3 separate regions of the Mus musculus genome follow, and regions 1 and 3 are each reported to be linked to region 2. Evidence: microRNA targets listed by miRTarBase, many of them from high-throughput screens and not tested one by one. Region 2 holds a microRNA gene; each other region holds the end of a gene's coding sequence.

What was found. Region 2 holds the annotated microRNA mmu-miR-3108-5p (GUCUCUAAAGCUAGACGUUCCGG, at 1,256-1,278, shown strand). A microRNA usually pairs through its seed, bases 2 to 8, with sites in the 3' UTR of a target mRNA and lowers its output. Matches are read on the target gene's strand: a 7mer-m8 pairs with bases 2 to 8, a 7mer-A1 pairs with bases 2 to 7 and ends in A, and an 8mer does both.
Region 1: miRTarBase lists Uevld as a target of mmu-miR-3108-5p. Seed matches in the 3' UTR shown: 7mer-m8 at 1,001-1,007 and 7mer-A1 at 1,980-1,986.
Region 3: the mRNA of Rc3h1 is a reported target of mmu-miR-3108-5p. Seed matches in the 3' UTR shown: 7mer-m8 at 774-780.

The regions. Positions count from the first base shown.
Region 1 is chr7:46,922,980-46,927,035 of GRCm38, reverse strand. It overlaps Uevld (UEV and lactate/malate dehyrogenase domains), which reads left to right. Exons shown (of 12, transcript NM_001040695.1): 12 at 548-3,820. The coding sequence ends at 715. It also overlaps a transcript of Tsg101 not described here. Among named protein-coding and RNA genes, the nearest start is that of Tsg101, 5.0 kb to the right of the region's middle.
Region 2 is chr8:108,935,615-108,939,682 of GRCm38, forward strand. Mir3108 (microRNA 3108) reads left to right here and starts at 1,246; the gene lies at 1,246-1,324. All of the region lies in intron 7 of Zfhx3 (zinc finger homeobox 3), which reads left to right.
Region 3 is chr1:160,967,456-160,971,511 of GRCm38, reverse strand. It overlaps Rc3h1 (RING CCCH (C3H) domains 1), which reads right to left. Exons shown (of 20, transcript NM_001024952.2): 20 at 1-3,865. The coding sequence ends at 3,715. Among named protein-coding and RNA genes, the nearest start is that of Serpinc1, 9.1 kb to the left of the region's middle.

The sequences.
Region 1 (4,056 bases), not on the chromosome of region 2:
CAGAATCCATGCAGTCTTTCCACAAGGACTCTACTGTCCACCTCTGGATTAGCCTTCAGACTGCTGACCTTACTACAGAAAGGCAGTTTACCTCTATGCAAAGAGGGTATCTTTGACCAGGCTCCTCCCATCTCAGATGTTTCCTGAAGCTATAACTTGAGTTTAGAAAAATCAGTAAACAAATCAAATTTAACTTGTATCACTTTGTACTAGAACTAAAAAAAAACAAGAAAGAATTCTTTTATCTTTAATTTTTTGTTTTTTATTATTTTTAATTGTGTATATGGCAGTGGTTGCTTGTATGAGTGCAGGTGCCCATGAACTCTAAAGACTGTGGGATCCCCAAAGCTAGAGTTATAGGCGGCTGTGAACTGCCTCACTTGGGATCCCCTGAAGCTGGAGTTATGGGCGGCCTGACATGGGTCTGGGAAAGACTGTCCTGAAAGAGCAGCACACTCTGAACTGCTCAGCCATCTCTCCAGCCCTATAAGTTTAATTTTTTTTGTAGTAATTCAGCTTTATTATAATCCCATCTTTTTCATTTCAGGGATATTATGGTTTAGATAATGAAGTATTTTTAAGTTTGCCATGCATCCTGGGAACCGGTGGGGTATCCGAAGTCATCAAAACCAAAGCAGGAGAAGACACAGTGACTGGGACACTCCAGGCCAGTGCATCCTCCATCCATGCTCTCCAGCAGCAGCTGGAACTGTGATTCCCCAGCGCAGTCACCCGGAGATGGGAGCTTATTTAATTTTGCCAACACACATCGTTTTGAGAATTTCCACAATTTACTCTTTATTCTTAAAAACAGCCTTTCTAGTAGATGGCTTCTTAATTAGCTTTATAATTTGAATCCTTGAGAATGGAAAAGGATTAATTTCTTGTAGGTTTTTGACATACCTGTACTGTTGTTTAAACCTGCAAAAGGGATAAATATTCATTTGCATTGTATTTCATTTTAAATTACATGTTGTAAACTTAAGGCACATCTGGCACTTTAGAGATGTTCTGTAAAGATTCCTGTTGGACATTTCTTCTGAGTATGGTGAGCTGAAGGCAGGATGGGCTCAAAATCTGTGCTAGGTGTCCATTCAGAGAATCTTGGCTTCATGGATTAATACTGCTTTTGCAAGAAGCAGGTCATAGTAATGGAGAAGTGTTTTATTTTCCTTCTTCAAATTCACTAGCTATCAAACACTAGAAAGTATTTTAGTATGCATTTTAAATTGGTTAAATGGAATTTTTAAATATATGAAAAGTAATGTGGTTTAATTTCCACTGAGATTTCTTTTCTGAAAATTTCTATAACCTCTTCCTGGGCTAAAAGATCTCCAGTCTGTCTTAAAACTATATTAGTAGAAAAAGAGATGTGTCTTCCTGTGGCCGTAGGTAATGAATAACAGCCACACAGTGTATTTTGAGACCAAAATATGAGGCTTTCCTAAAAACCATTGGTCTTACAGGAGAGAGGCCGGCCGGCCTGCTGCTTCTCCCCAGAAGAAACCCTTCTGACTGTGCCTTGGTGATTGGTCAGTAGCAGTATTTCCATGTGGGAGACAGCATGGTTGGTGACTGTTGTGACGTGCAGATGGCAGCAACAGCTAACACAGCTCTTGTGTAGCGAGCACTTTGTTTGTACAATGCCCACACTAACTGGCTGAGGTAGGGACTATTTACCTTCATTACGGAGGTGAAAATGAACGTTCGTGTCTAAGATCAAGTGGGCTCTAAGGAGTCTCACTTGCCTGTATAATCTTTTTTTTAATAGGTAGCAACAGGGGTTGTGGGGAGGCTTCTGTGCCTAAACGCCAAGTCATCGCAAGACACTAAAGTTGAGGGTTGGGATACTATGAAAGAATTGCTTCTATTCTCATATGATGGGAGCTTCTTTCTTTTTTTCTTTTTTGAGACAGGGTCTATTTGTAGTCTTGACCATCTCGGAGCTTGCTATTGTAGACAGGCTGGCCTTGAACTCATAGAGAACTGCCTGCTTCTGTCTCTCAATGGGATTAAAAGTGTAGGCCATCATATCTGCCTTTTTTTTTTTTTAACAAAGATTGCTGAGCCTCTTCCCCAGAGATTCCACGAACAGCAGACAGTGTTTATGTATTTAATCCTTCAGCTAGTATTTATTAGAAACTTCTCTAACAAAGCACTATTAGTAAACAGGCCCAGATTAGGACAGGCCCTGCCAATGCCTACAGACTAGCAGGGAATACAGTAGCCAAATGTCATGTAAGTTCAAGAGTGCTAAGTGCTGTGAAGTCCAGTGACAAGGAACCCAGTCTAGTCAGAGAGAGAGGAACTCCGTGGTTTATGAGACAGAAAGGGAACAGTCTCATTCTCAGGGTGACTCGTGTAATTATAATGACAAGTGACCTTCAGTATCCCAAACTGGAGAAAGTAGAAAAGTAATGTGGTGACAAAGACTCCCACCACGTTTAACTGGATGAAACCCTGGACATCCAGGCTAGGGGTATAGCTCACTGTTAAGATGCTTGCCTGGCGTGCAGAGCCCTGGGTGTGGTTCCAGAACACAGAACTGGGGTCCTTGAGACGATAAGCATGAGCTCTTTGTAGATAATCTTGGTGTTGCTTTTACTGGCCTTTTGTATGAAGTGGGAAAGTAAAGTTGAAACAGTCATTTCTTAGGTGTTTTTCTAGTATTTTCTAATAGGTGATAACTAATTAGGAACTCAGTAATTCCTGATTAGAGCTTCTTTGTCTTCATTTGGTTTTGAGACTAACCTCAAAGTCAACTCTTAGCAATCATCTGCCTAATCTCCTGGGCATTGGCGGCCATGCCCAGCAACAAGTCTTACATTGTTTGTGGGGATCTAATCCAGGGTCTGATGCATGTTAGGCAGGTTCCTCCCCAACCCTGTGTCTATAATCTAATCCTAAAACTCTCTTGAACAATAAACCAACTGCAGAGTGCTGTAACAATGAACTACCGAGAACTATGTTATAGAAAGAAACGTCAGATATTTATTAAATACTCATCATTAGCCAAGGATTTTGTTAGTTTGACCTCATCCCCGGGTTGCAGTACAGAAGCCTCACACTTCTTTGAGTTAAGTAGCAATTGTACGTTCCTCCTCAGTCAGGTGGTGCCATCACAGCCACCTAACTTTGATTTAATTATTAACAGTTACTCTATGTGGTGACTTTCATTTTTTTTCTAATCATTTATTGGTTTGGATGATGTTGACTTGATTAACCTAAATACTGTATTAGTCTCCAAACCAATTGGAAATGTACAGTGTTTGCATATTTCTCATGTGAAGCACAAGGACAGGATCAGAACTCCTGTTCATTCACTAAGGTGATGACCTACCATATGAGAAGGTTCAACTCTATATCAAGTTATAAATCCTGACTTTTTTGTCTTGTTATATTCTGAAATGCAGGCTTTGTGAAAACTGAAAACTTTGTAAAAGATTTATTTCTTCATTTAAAAAAGTACTGTCAATAAAACATTGCTTTTCCTCCTTGCTATGTGAAAGGAAACTTTCATTTTTCCCAAAGCACGCGGAATCTCAAGATTTTTTTTTTAATTTTTTTTATTAGGTATTTTCCTCGTTTACATTTTCAATGCTATCCCAAAGGTCCCCCATATCCACCCCCCCAATCCCCTACCCACCCATTCCCCCTTTTTGGCCCTGCCGTTCCCCTGTACTGGGGCATCTAAGATTTTTATTGGGTCTTGGATTAAAATGCTTTTTGATACTATAAAATATATTTTTTATTTTCCAATTTACATTGTTTCCTTAAATATCAAAAATAATGAATGAAATAAACTTTTATTTTAAAAGGACTATCTGCTGTCTGATTAAGTGAAAGAAGATACATTCAAATTAAAGAAGGATTTCATAGCATTCTCCGAACAACCATATCTTATTCATTTAAGTGACTTAAATATAAGATGAAGAAAGTGGCCTTTATCAGTTATTTCTTTAAAAAAAATTGTTTTGGTTTGTTTTTTTGACACAGGGTTTCTCTGTGTAGCCCTGGCTGTCCTGGAACTCACTCTGTAGACCAGGCTGGCCTCAA
Region 2 (4,068 bases):
CACCAGCTCAGGCCATCACGTTTTTTTTTTTTTTTTATCACTAGAACCAAAGAGGCGAATTTCAAGTGATAATTTTCACCATGAACCTTTGGCCAGCGGAGTCCTCAGGAACAGGTTGTTGCCATGGCATTTGCTTGGGTCCCAATCCCTAAGGTATTTCTGGAAGTGACCTCACTAAATAGCACTTTGTGAAGAAGTGATTTCCCACCTTTTAAAGACCCCAGAAAACAGAGCCAAGGCCATGAACCTTCCCTGGAGCAGTGTCCAGAGCCAGACATGCCTGTCGAAGGTACCAGGGAGCACCCCACACATTGGGAGGACGGTGATAAGCTTGTTCTTGAACCCCTAGCAGAGAGATTACGCAAGAAGCAGCCACTCCCTGAAGGTCCTGCACTTTGCTCCGCACAGAAACCCCACAGGCCTCATCTTTCCACAGATAGTAGAGATGTTGTCTAGCCGTCTCTGAGAAGTGTACAAGCTGTAAAAGTGCTGGTTCCAGGAAACCAGCTTGCTAGTATCAGCGAGCTACTAGATTGCAAATCGGGGAGTTGAAAGTAGGGATGACGCGTGAGTGGTGTGTTTTAAGCGCTCCTCTGAACTTCACAGATGGTGTGAGGGGCTTTCATGCACCACATAGCTCTCTACCTGGGAAACTGGCGTGGTGACTGTCCCACAGAACTGGTCCTTCTAGTCACGAGGCCAGTTTTGCAAGTGATGTATTTCCTTCTCCATTCAAAACAGCTTTGTGCAGCCACTCTCTAGGGTAAACCCCCAGATCCTCTTTGATGCCTAGACGCCTAATCTTGGTCAGATGCCAGGGCTGTTCTTTGGAAAAGTTTGGTGTTAAAATGGAATTCACAATTGTTGTACAACTAAGTGATGTTAATGAGCCTGTGGCTGAAACCGTGTCCCCGAAGGGCATTTTACAGTAATTTTATTAGAAAATTGGCCCCGGGAAAGTGTTGGTTAGGCTTTCTGACAGTTTATCTGTTTGTGCTTAGCCAAGTGCAGCGGAGAGCTCTAAAAGCAATCTGATGAAGATAACTCCTAACCAAAGCCTTTCTTCCTCTGCTTCGTCATGAGGAGTAGCCAGTGGCCATTCAACCTCTGAGAGGCTCAAGTCCTGTCTCCTGGGATCCTGAATGGCAAGGCAAATGGCAGAGTGGCCCAGGCAGGTGGCTTTGGCTGAGGGACAGAAAACGCTGCCAAAGGTTCCCAGATCCGTGATCCCGGCTGGACGTGAGACACAACCAGGGTCTCTAAAGCTAGACGTTCCGGAGAATTTTTTTATTTCGGCGTCTAGGTCTAGAGTCTCAAGGAAGTGGCCAGTATTGGATTTCAGTCCATCTGAAAGTAAATTCCGCCTTGATAAATGGAAATAGATTACTTTTTACGCAGTGTCTTTCCTTTCCGTTGTAAATGGAGAGCTTTTTTTTTTTTTTTTTTTTTTTTTTTTTTTTTTTTGAGGAGGCTTCATTTAATAATACCTTATCAGACAGCTTTCAGGAACCTGCAGGGTCTAATACGTCTGTTGCTATGGTAACGGCTGCTTATGCTCTGCATCTCATATCTATGTCTTCCATGGGTCCCCTTCTTTTTACCGATGAGGGGGCTTGAAAAAAATGCTCTTCATTGGCAGGATTTGCAGCGCTGGCCATCGACCGTGGAAGCAGCACCCTCCACACTTGCTGGAAACAACTCAGACCACATTTCTTTCTACACGTGTCACATAAAAGAGGAAGTCTCTAAAGCTTTGGGGCAGTGAGACAGGCTCACCTCCACACTCGGCTGGCCAGTCCCCCCTCCACCATGTTGATCTCAAATACCTAAGTCTTATTTCCAGACAAGCCAAGGCTTTAGATTGGGGGAAATGTTGGTGCTTCCACTCTGTCCCTGGATTTGGGGGGAAGGATGAGGGCCCAGGGACACGTGTTTCTCCTCGGCTCCTCAGTAAGAATGGGAAAGACCACCCACCATGCGTTTCAATACTCTTAAATTATTCTAATTGATCAGTGTCTTCTAAGTGACAGGACATACCACCGGGATCCTAGATCATTAATTTGGGGACATTTTCTTTGTTCTTTAATCACTTAACAAAATGGGACCTCACAGCTGAAATGAGGCTGAGCCAAGAGCACCTTTTTCTGTAGCCTTTCCTCTTCCTCCTCTTTTCTGGCCCACAATTACTCCTTTTTATTATTTCATAGGCACCCAGATGCCCTCCTGTGCTCCTGTGCCCCTCTCCCCCACTTTCTGCCTTGCCTGTGGTTTTCTCTCAGCCTCTCTTTGGGGGGACAATAGTATAGTCTCCTGTGTTCTTTAAACACCAGTCTATGACTCTCTCTCTCTCTCTCTCTCTCCCCCTCCCTCCCTCCCTCCCTCTCTCTCTCTTCCCCCACTCTCTCTCCCTCTCCCCTTCTTCCCCTCTCCCTCTCTCCCTCTTCCCCTCTCCCTCTCTCTCTGCTCTATGTATGTGTGGACCTCAGGGGCAGGCTTCCTCCTCCCCCTCCCCCACAAGGGGGCTCTTGTGCTCCCCCTGGCCCCCGAGGCTGTCACACCCACCTGCATATCAGCTCTTTCACTTTGTGTCCATCTCAGAGGAAGGTAATGAAAATAATCGGGCTTCATTAATTCCAAGCCCTGCGAGATGATAGCCATTTGGAGCCTGTTTGCCAATTAGATGGTCTAAATTAGAAGTGACCTTGGTATACTGCCGCCGCCTGCCTCTCGGGTCTAATGAAGCTTTGCTCTCCCATCCATTTCCCCCTCAGCTCTCTCGTCTGTGTACACACACACACACACACACACACACACGCATAGCTGCTCCTGTTTCTTATGTCCCTCCCCACCCCCTGCTCCATCCGTTCAAATCATTCTCAGTTTTCAAACTCCGGTTCTGGTTTGTGTGTGTGTTATTTTGATCTACATAAATTGTTAGTGTGGCCCTCAGTTTTGTCTGTCTGTGTGTGTCTATGTCTCACGCCATTTTAGAAAGGAGATCTGTGGGGAGGGAGGTTTTGTCAGTGAATTCCAAGTTCCAGGCGGGGAGGAAGACAGCATCCCGGTGTTCTGTTCCACAGTAAGCCAACTGTCCCGTATTCTGTTGTACAGTAGGCCAACTACATACAGTCAACCCCAGTATATATTTTGGACATAAGAGAAGCCTTTTAATGTCTCATGAAGAGATAAATGCTGGAGGAGACACATATGCTGGGGTCCTCCTGTGATGAGCACACAGAGTATATGTGTGTGAAACTTCACCCTGAGCCCCATAAATCTATACAGTTATACGCAACAATTAAAATTTCCTGAAAGCAGTACAGCTGGTACACATCGTTATAATCCCAGCACTCAGGCAGGGGGATTATGAGTTGGAGGTTTGCCTTGGGGGATATGAGACTTTAGGTCTTAAAAAGTAAAAAATTTAAAAGTATACTATTTTTTTTCTAAGATGAGACATGACAGAGACAAAGTCTCGTAGAGACTGTGCTGCCATGCCTCACCGGCAGGCAGGCAGGCAGGCAGGCAGGCGGGCGGGCAGGCAGGCGGGCGGGCGGGCGGGCGGGCAGGCGGGCAGGCGGGCAGGAGGGCAGGCGGGCAGGCGGGCAGGCGGGCAGGCGGGCAGGCAGGCAGGAAGGCAGGCGGGCAGGCGGGCAGGAAGGCAGGAAGGCGGGCGGGCGGGCGGGCAGGCAGGCAGGCAGGCAGGCGGGCGGGCGGGCGGGCGGGCGGGCGGGCGGGCGGGCGGGCAGGCGGGCAGGCGGGCAGGCGGGCGGGCGGGCGGGCGGGCGGGCAGGCGGGCAGGCGGGCGGGCGGGCAGGCAGGCAGGCGGGCGGGCGGGCGGGCGGGCGGGCGGGCAGGCAGGCAGGCGGGCAGGCAGGCAGGCGGGCGGGCGGGCGGGCGGGCAGGCAGGCAGGCAGGAAGGCAGGAAGGCAGGAAAAAGGGCTCAAGCTCTACAGCGAGTGGTGCCCATGGGGATCGGACGGGATAGGGAGAGCCGGGCCCTGAAGCCTCCTCATGAGGGAGCACTCCACTCACCAGGAGCTCGAGGTCAGCTTTGACAGCAGTTAA
Region 3 (4,056 bases), not on the chromosome of region 2:
TTCAAGCTCCCACACTCAAGCTCATGGGAGTCTGATGGGATCATGTATCCAAGTAGCACGTGAGAATTGTATCCATCTTCTGCTGTTAGGCAAAAGAATAAATACATGGGAAAACCACAAGGGAAGGAAGATGAGAGAAGGAATGACCCACATTAATGCCGTACGTGCCAAACAAGCTCTTACACATTCTGAGTAGGTGAATATTTGTAATTACTAATAATAGTGTCTTAAACATTGACGTCATTTGAACATCACTACCAGAAACCTATGGTACAAGTTCTGTTTAAGTAGAAAAGTAGTAAGGAATGGCTCTTTGGTCACATTCAGACTCCTACTATCAACAGGAAACTGAGTCTAGATACCCCATTCTCAGTTCCTCCATCATGTTCCAGAGACTCACGGAAAACAGACTGAGCCTAAGTACTTTTTATTCACGACAGCTAACATACTGGCGTTGTTTCTGAACAAGTATGAATATGCTGCTGCATAACCCTTCCAGAATTGTCTGTTTCATCTGAGATGATTCTTGCTCTTGGATACAGTAAAAAGTAATCACCTTCAGAAGAAACCATTTCAGTGAAAAGCCATACCCATTGCTGAGTATGCTGAGCATGGCGGCACATGCTTGACATTCTTCCAGTGCTCGCTCACAAGGCTGGCGCAGGGTCTCGAGTCAGAACCAGTATGGGCTATCTGCTAAGACTGTCTTAAAAGGGCAGGGCTGGTGGTGCAGAAGCTCTGCTTCCTATTTGATGGGCTTCCTTTTTTTAATGTCTCTAAAGACACAAATAAAAATCAATGGTTTTCATATTTTAATAAAAACAGCAGTTAAGAGTCATGAAGTTATGCTTCAATTTATTGTTGTCTCATAACATTGACTTTGTTAAGGGGAGAAAAACCCCTCAAAGTTATGAGAGTTTTTATTGAATCCCTAAACCTGCCAGTGGGCACAAACAATACTGCCTACCCCCTGCTCCCCAAAAAACCCCACCTAAAAATTGGTAAGGGAAAATGACTAAATAGCAAAATTGTAGGCACAGTCTTTCACTTTCTACCCAACCCAGACTGGCTATAGAGAGGGGCTTGGGGAACTCATACTACCATTTAAAAGACTAATTTTCTCCCTAAATAAAAATATACCTAAAAGGATACTAGTGCACCGCAGCAGAGTACATTTTGGGGGTCTCATACACACTACAATGAAAATTTACTTTTATTCTTAACTCCAAGAAAACCAATATGCAGATTTCCCCCTAGTTATTCCAATTTTAAAAACAACAACAACAAAAACCCATCTGCTTCTAAGACTTAGGAATTATCTTGAAATGTCCAAAGGAGGTAAGACCCACCCAAATCTGTCTACTGAAGGCAAGAGGCCAATAATGTGGCGTTTTATAGATATGCAGAAAAATAAAAATCCTGTCAGGCATAACATTTCTCTCCTCATCTCAATAAATAATGAGTAAAGTATAAATGTAAGAGTCATTTTATCTTAAAAAAAAAAGTCCAAAAAAAGCAAATGTACAAATGTGTATTTAAAATTAAAAGGAAAATGTATGCATCAACTGAGAAATGCCTCACCGTCATTCGGTGCCTCTACCTCCCAATCAGTCATCTTATTGCAACAGCTGCGCTCATGCGAAGAAATCTTTAAAACATACCCGATATATATACAGATATAGCCATGTATATATGTATATATATAATATATATATAAATTTTTATTTAAATAAAAAAGAAAGCTCGAATCCCAAGCCAATATGTGTATATCAAATCCTTGACCAGCCAGGTCTGTAGGGCATAATCAAATTCAATGTGAAATAGTATATAAACACGGTGCCTTGACTGGGCAAATTAAATAATCGCTACTCAAATGAGTGTTCTGTTTGGATTTCCTACTGGTAGGCAATGGCAGGACTATTTTTCCCTTCCCACCCCTCCCACTCTTATCCCACCCCCACCCACTTGTTTCAATTAACAAGATGATGGACACAGAGCTTAGACTGAGGTGACGCAGACCTCAGCAGAGTTAAGGGTTCAGGAAATAGAAATAAGAAAAATATAAACGTTTGCTTTTACCCAACCAAAGCAATGCAGTAACTTATTACATAACCAGTGCTTTCTTGTTTTGTAGCATCATCTAGAAAGGGAAACTGACGTCAGGCAATCAGAGGGATGGAGTGATTCTACGAAACATTGCCTTGCTGAACTCATTTTAGAGGGGCTTAGTAAATTAAGCAAACAGTGGTTAGCATTAGAATATGTGCAGCAGAACTAAATAAAAATTCTTCCTCACTCTTCAACTTTTTCATAAACATTTTTAATGTCAGAAAGCCAGGTCTATAAAAACTCACTTCAAGTTATTTATAGTTATTCTAGTAATTCTGATTACTGACAAGTGACCAAAGCATGAACTACCCTGAAGACTCAGTCAGTTTCTATCTGCCAAATCTTTAACGCTTTTGAAAGGAAAACAAAAATTCCATTGAAATAATATGTCCTTGTTTACTGAAGCTCCTATCGAGTGTTAAGTTTTATTTTAATTAAAAAATTTTCTTCATTGTGTCTGGTGTCCACAAGGGCCAGAAAAGGGTGTCATGTCCCTGAAAGTGGAACTGGGAGACACCCTGCAGGTGCTGCCAAGAACCCGGGAGAGCAGCCGGTGCTCTTCTGCTGAGCCGGCTCCCAGCTTTAGAGTATGGTTCACTGTCCTGGTTTTTCTATTCTAGGGTTTCAAGACAAGTTTAATTTGTAAACACAGCTCGAATTTTCCAACATGAGCTCCACATAGGAGAACAGGAAATGCCTATTTTCACTATTAACAAGCTGAAGTTCATTTCTTTTCTTCTTATTCTGTTTTTTCCTGCCTCAACATCTTGAGGCCAGGGATTACAGGAATGAGCCATTATATCCAATTCAGAGTTCATTCTTAAAATAAAATAATCTTCATTTAAATCTAACTAAACATTGTAAACACTAAATAGGCTTTCAGATTTTAAGGAGATAATGCAAGGAATGCTTGACACCAAAATGTGGCTCAAACAATCAACTGCATGTTGACATCTCTGAAAAGTTGAAACTAAAACCATATCCACTCAAATAAACTTTTAATGTTGTAAAAAACAAGTATCTATCCACAGAGCTAGTGATCCAGAAACAGGGCTGGGGTTAAAGAATAGCTCTAATAAAATTAGTTTGCTGCACAGTTTCTAATAACCCAATCTATTACCACAGAATTCTTGGAAACGGTGCATTTTTGTCTATTTTAGTTTACAGGGTTGTGAGAGTTGGAAAGGACTGGGGAAAAGGAATTATACACTGGGTATGTAATAATACCAAAATACAAGAAAAACCTACTTCATTAAGATCATACAATTAATCAAACAGAGTGTATATATAATATCTTCTTTTTTTTTAAAGCCCCGGATCCAAGGCGTCCAAAGTTATTAAAATAAAGTTCATTCACAGAACAAAAACAAATTTAATCTGAATTGCTTGCAGATACTGCTAATTTTTTTTTCTTAAAATTAAAAAAATGCATCAATGTGAACTATGTGCAGGTTTGTTTAGTAGTGGTGTTTGTGCACATTGCCTCCGGTGCTTTTCCTGGACTTCACTGACCACTCAGAGAAAAAGTTTAGAAGTTATCCATTTTTCTATCCCTATGCCCCATGAACTGATTAGGAGCAGAAGGTAGAAGCAGGTGCCCATATTCTAGGGAGCAGAATTGGAAACAACTCCTGATCTCTGGGAATCATTGTTATCTCCTCCTCCCTCAGAGTCTTCTGACAGATTCAAAGAGCTGGTCTTGTTTGATAGGAGGCTGAGATTCTCTTGTGTCAAGGCTGATCCATTTGGTACATCACTGTAAATTACATGAAAAAATAGTTGGAATTTATAGAAAGAGAAAAGCAATTACTCTAAATAAAATCCAATCAATAGGGCTTATTATTTAGCACTGTAGAAAAACATGAGGCTGGAGTAGAGCACATGCCTTTAGTTCAAGCAGAAGGCAGAAGCAGCTGGTCTTTATCAGTTTTAGGTTAGATTGGTTCC